Canis lupus familiaris: one gene and its partner. The protein of the gene in region 1 binds, or shares a complex with, the protein of each later gene. Links are inferred from orthologs where the notes say so. Each region holds a gene or a part of one and is shown in the gene's direction. Other genes may lie near its edges.

Region 1 (3,659 bases):
TAAGAGTTACCATTTATTGATGGTTCAGTGGCTCCTAGCCATTGTCCTTGCTGGATCTCGACACTGTCTCTGATATGGCAATTTTTGTTAGCCTGGTTTTAAAAGATGAGGAGACTGAGGCTCAGGAAAGTTCTGTGATTTCCTCATGATCACACAGCTAGTAATGACTAGGAAGTGGCCATGCTGGGGCTCCAGTCTAGGACTGGTCAGCTTCAGGGCACCTGTTCTTCCCTGGCCCTTGTGGCCGTTCGCACAGTAGCTGTTCTTAAACTTTCTTGTATTCGGATACCTTTAAGCTCTTAAAAATCATTGAAGACTCTTGAACTTTTGTTTATGTAGGTTCTATCTCTTGATATTTACTGTATTTGATGTTAAAATGGAGTAATATAAAACATCTAGACTTACTAATTCATTTTTGAAGGACAATTATAATAGATCCACTGCATTAACATAAGTAACATTTTATTAAAAATAACTTTTCCAAAAAAAGTAACTTTTCCAAAACAAAAATAACCTTTGTTATATGACCAATAATTGTTGTGTTATCTTTCCACATCTTTATCGCCTAGTTGGATTTTCCTATCTTCTTCTGCATCCAGTCTGTGGATGTTTTAGTTGAAATATAGGAAGTATATGTTTTAGTTGAAATATAGGAAGAAAATCTGACCTCACATAGATATGTATTTGGAAAGGGGAAGGATATTTTAACAGCTTTTTTGCGCAATTGGGAATATTCTCCTTTGATATGATGCTGAAACTCCATAAGTTTTAGTTTTTTTAAAGGTTAGTTGCAGTGTAGAATCTGAAACTATACCAGTGGACTTTGGGTGCACTGTTAAATTGAAATCCTTTGGTCTGAAATCTTTCTTATCGAAAAATTCTGAATAATATATGTGGGTACTTCCCACCAGGAGAAGTAGAGCTTAACTTCTATCCCTCACTTTTCCCTGAGGGTGGGCTAATCCTAGTGACCTGCTTCCAAAGGATAGAATGAAGAAAAGAAGAAATATTAATAACTTTACAGTGGAGAAACTTGAGAATGTCATGTGGCCATCATTTAAGCCTTGATATGATGTAACTAGAAAACCCAGAACCCCACTCTAATCATGAGAAAGCATCAGACAAACCCAAACCAAAGGACGTTCTACAGGATTCCTGACCAGTACTCCTCGATTGTCAGGATCATAAAAAACAAGCAAAGACTAAGAAACTGTCAGATGCTAGAAGAGACATGACAGCTAGATGCAATGTGGTGCTCTGGAATAGATCCTGGAACAGAGAGAGGGCATTAATAGAAAAACTGGTGGAATCTCAAATAAGTCTGGAATGTACTTAATAGTGCTCTATCAATGTCAGTTTCTTAGTTTTATAAACAGGTTGTGGTAATGCCTGATGTTAACAGTGGGAGCAGCTGAGGGAAGGCTATACAGGAATTCTGTACTGTCTTTACAGCTTTTCTGTCTATCTAAAATTATGCCAAAGTATAAAAAGTTTATTTTAAAAAATCTGTTATTATAACCAAGTAAGAGACTCAATAGAGAACAAACTGATGGTGACCAGAGGGAGGTGAGTGAGAGGATGGGGGAATTAGGTGATGGTGATTAAGGAGGGCACTTGTGATGAGCAACTTGTGATGTATGGAGTTGTTGAATCACTATATTGTACACCTGAAACTACTATAATACTGTATGTTCACTAATTGGAATTTAAATAAAAACCTCTTTTAAAAAATTTAAAAATAGGGTATGAGAGGAAAAATCTGATGTTACAAATCAGAGTCTTATACTCTGAATAGATGGTTTACCTATGCATGGTTTGGTAACATCGTTACCAGGATCATTTGGGAAATACTGGCTCACTGAGTTATGCAGATCTTTGGAATGCTGACTCCTTTCATTATTCAGTATTTTAAAAATCACAGTTGTTATCTTATCAGAAGGGTCTTTGTTGAGTTTGCAAGCCCGTGGTGGATACAAGTTTCCCAAAATTCTGATTTTTCCCTTGAAAGTTCAAATTTTATCATAAGCTAATGCTGCAGGCTCATTTTGTCCCTTTTCACGAAAGTATTTGCCAAATATCCAAGTCTAAGTACCCTCAGTTTGGCACTTATCCTTCGGATGAAAATGATGTCCAGTGAAAAACGCAGCTAGTAGCCTGCACTTCAAACGGTTGTGTGTGTGCCTTTCCTCAAGACAGCCACTCATTGTACTTCAGAATGCCACCAAAGCCTTTCATGGTGGGTCTCATTTTGCCACATAGAGTATTAAAAAACAAGTACTCAAGGACAAGATTTAATTAAATCAATTTTTACATCTTCATCTGGGACATTCTGAAGAGAAATGAACTATTGCCCTCCTTTCCCAGGGCATGTGTGGTAGCGGAAATGGTCTGCCACCGCGGTCTCAATTTGTGTTCAGACGCCTTGGCACAATTGGTTCAAATCTCCACACAGTGCAAAAGGCCTAGAACATTTTAGTGCTCTGGAAGTAGTTTGACCTTGTTGCCCTCCCCCTCCTAAGAGGGTCTTGGGCACCTCAAAGGGTCCACGGACCACACTTCGAGAACTGTTACCTGTAAGTAAAGGAGCAGTTGTTAGAAGGAGAAGAAGAGCTGAAGTGACTGAAGACCAAATCTGAGAGGAAGCAGATGATCATATGGCGCAGGCCAAGGTGTATAGAAGCTGAGGCTCTTCCCACTTGGCGCTCGTGCTTTCAGCAGCCAAGGAAGCTTTTCCATTTGTCTGTGGCATCTCCGCACCATGTTTAAATGCCCAAATGCATACTCCGATCGCCTGGTATCTGTGTTCGTCACCACCATTCTTAACATCATCACATATGAGGCTTCGTTCAGGAAGGTCAGAAAATTCCTTCTTAAACTGTGTTTTCTTTTCTTTAAAGGTAAATCCCACCTGGCTATTGTGCAGCGAGTGAACAATGAAGGAGAAGGGGACCCATTTTATGAAGTTCTGGGAATCGTCACCTTAGAAGACGTGATTGAAGAAATCATCAAATCCGAGATTCTAGACGAAACAGATTTATACAGTGAGTAGCCTGAGTGTGAGTTTTTGAAACCTCGGCAGTTTCTTATCCTCTTGTTCATGGGTCCTCACACGTCTTCGCTGGTCATTTGCCTGTCTCTAACCATGTGCTGTGTGTGTAGGCTGTGGACCACTTAGCAGTGTGTTCTAGGCCCTTCGTCAGAGGGGGAGAGAGGAGGCAGGTCCTGTGATGTCTAATGGCAGTGTTTTATTTTTGTGGGTTTTTTGAGAAAAGTCAGCTTTGGGGCACCTGGGTGGCTCAGTGGTTGAGTGACTGCCTTTGGCCCAGGTTGTGATCCCAGGGTCCTGGGATCGAGTCTTGCATCAGGCTCCCAGTTGGGAGCCTGCTTCTCCCTCTGCCTGTGTCTCTGCTTTTCGCTGTGTCTCTCATGAGTTAATAAATAAAATCTTAAATTTTTTTTTTTTTTAAAGAAAAGCCAGCTTCTTCTAACCCATTGATCAGGTCATTACTTGCCCTAAACAGAAAACTCCATTCTTGGTTTTTACATTTATTCTACATGTGGAAAAAGAATTGTTCTTTACTAATTTTTTATTTTCCACAACTAGGCAGCTCTGTTCAGATAAATTTCTTTTTCTGCTTAAGGTCATATTTCAGGTTGTT
Region 2 (2,438 bases), on another chromosome or scaffold:
AAACAGACTATTACCAGAAACCCATAAACTCCCCTGATCACTGTTGTCCTAAATGTAATCACCACTCTGACTTCTAAGCCATAGAATAGTTTTGTCTGCTTCTGAAATTTATGTTAATATGATTACAGAAGCTGTACTTCCTGTCTGTTGGCTGAATGTTCTGTTAGTGAGATTTATCCCTGTTCTTCCATATAACAGTGCTTTGTTCATTCTCAGTTCTCCGTAGTATTCTATTTTATGAAAAGCCCCCAGTTTTTGCCTAATGCTGCTGTCACTGCTGCTATGAACATTCTTCTAAGTGTTCTTACGGGGAACAGTGCATATTTCTTTTTGTATATAATCAGGAGTGGAACTCCTGGGGGCATGTGGTAATTGTTTTTAGTGGAAACCGATCAATAGTTTTTGTTTTTGTTTTTTTTAGATTTCATTTTTGAGTAATCTGTGCACCTAACATGGGGTTCGAACTCACAACCCCAAGCTCAAGAGTTGCATGCTCCCCCAACTGAGCCAGCCAGGTGCCCCTCCTCAATAGTTATTCTAAAGTGGTTTCTGAAAGAGTTCCATTTCATTTGGTTCTCATCCTTTCCGACTCTTGGTATTATTAGTCATTTTTATTTTTAGCCATAATGGCAGATAGTAGTAGTACCTCATGGTGGTTTTAATTTGTATTTTGATTTAAAAAGTTGAGTACCAGAGCCGCTCACTCCATGGTAGAGCCTGGTGCCCCCACCACCGCCTGCGAAGCTGCCGCCTCGGGACCGGCTGTATGATTAGGCCACAATCTTCAATGAGTAAACATATTCCTCAGTTCTGTGGTGTTCTTGGTCACACATTTATGGAGTTTCTGAAGGGCAGTGGAGATTACTGCCAGGCACAGCACGACCTCTGTGCAGACAAGTGAACTGTAGAAATTCATTACTACTCCACCAAGAAGCCCCCATAAGAGTGGTTAACCTGGACCCAGAAGTGTTGAATTGAAATCCACAGAGCATGTTACAAGAGTTCTGACCTGCTTGGGGTAAACCTCAGTGCATTTCCTTTCTATTGCCTCAGTATTACTGGATTGAAGAATTGTTAGGAGGTTCATTTCATTTCCCATTACTCCCAACTTCATACTCAAAGCACTGAGAATTTCAAGTGGAGTATATCAAAGTAGACTCAGTTTCTTTGCATCATTTCTGTATTCAATTTTTTAAAATTCTTTCATAACCCTATTGAGTGTTTTCTAATTTAATTAACATGGCTCAAATGAACCGCCCAGCTCCTGTGGAAGTCACATACAAGAACATGAGATTTCTTATTACACACAATCCAACCAATGCGACCTTAAACAAATTTATAGAGGAACTTAAGAAGTATGGAGTTACAACAATAGTTAGAGTATGTGAAGCAACTTATGACACTACTCTTGTGGAGAAAGAAGGCATCCGTGTTCTCGATTGGCCTTTTGATGATGGTGCACCACCATCCAACCAGATTGTTGATGACTGGGTAAGTCTTGTAAAAATTAAGTTTCGTGAAGAACCTGGTTGTTGTATTGCTGCCCATTGTGTCGCAGGCCTTGGGAGAGCTCCAGTGCTTGTTGCCCTAGCATTAATTGAAGGTGGAATGAAATATGAAGATGCAGTACAGTTCATAAGACAAAAGCGGCGTGGAGCTTTTAACAGCAAGCAACTTTTGTATTTGGAGAAGTATCGTCCTAAAATGCGGCTGCGCTTCCAAGACTCCAATGGTCATAGAAACAACTGTTGCATTCAATAAAACTGGGGTGCCTGATGTCATTGCCTTGGAAGTGGAACTTGAAACAGGACCTAATTTGTCATATATACACATATTAGCCAATATGTTGGCTTGGTGATTAAGTCTAATGAAGCTTCCATAGGAGTATTGGAAAGCGGTTTTATCAGGCCACAAGTTTGATGGAATTGCAACCTCTATGTTTGGGTTACGATCAAACTATTTGGACACTTAGCAAAAGTTTCTTGCTTTACAGCATTTAAAATGTGCTTATCACTTGTACCAATTGACCTTTCCTGAAATCATGCAGTATTGAGTTATGTCTTTAAGTCTATTCCCATGCCAGAATCTTATCAATATATAAGAAATTTAGAAAGATTAGGTGCCAAAATACCCAGCACAATACTTGTTGTATATTTTTAGTATCATACAGAACTAAAATCCCAGGAACTATGAACACTCTGGACCTTATGTGGTTTATTCCTTCAGTCATTTCAAACATAGAAATTAGGGCCTATATGGTTATTTGCCTGCTCACTTTATGTTTACATCTCCCACATTTATACCAGTATACATCAGGTTTGCTCAACTCTTTTTTTTCCCCTTTTTTTGGGGGTGGGGGGATTTTTTCTAAGTCTTAAAATGATGATTTCATGTCTTTCTACAAACTTCATTTTATGCTGTTATGGAAAACCTCCATT

Evidence for each region. Proteins that work in one complex are often made in the same cells at the same time.
Region 2: the proteins of CNNM2 (region 1) and protein tyrosine phosphatase type IVA 1-like are in contact, whole or in part, in a crystal structure (PDB 5MMZ), measured with the Mus musculus proteins. The link is inferred for Canis lupus familiaris from reciprocal best matches to the Homo sapiens genes CNNM2 and PTP4A1. Residues at the interface, in NP_291047.2 of Mus musculus: Phe526, Asp528, Val551, Asn553, Glu556, Gly557, Asp558, Pro559, Phe560, Tyr561; in NP_035330.1 of Mus musculus: Asp72, Gly73, Ala74, Gly107, Leu108, Gly109, Arg110, Arg137, Arg138, Gly139, Ala140, Phe141, Asn142, Lys144, Gln145.

Annotation. Positions count from the first base shown.
Region 1 is NC_049249.1:15,679,074-15,682,732, forward strand, and holds part of CNNM2 (metal transporter CNNM2), read left to right. Parts: intron 1-2,897; coding exon 2,898-3,041; intron 3,042-3,659.
Region 2 is NC_049248.1:18,637,543-18,639,980, forward strand, and holds protein tyrosine phosphatase type IVA 1-like, read left to right. Parts: upstream 1-1,179; 5' UTR 1,180-1,239; coding exon 1,240-1,761; 3' UTR 1,762-1,781; downstream 1,782-2,438. UniProt on the Homo sapiens protein: Protein tyrosine phosphatase which stimulates progression from G1 into S phase during mitosis. May play a role in the development and maintenance of differentiating epithelial tissues.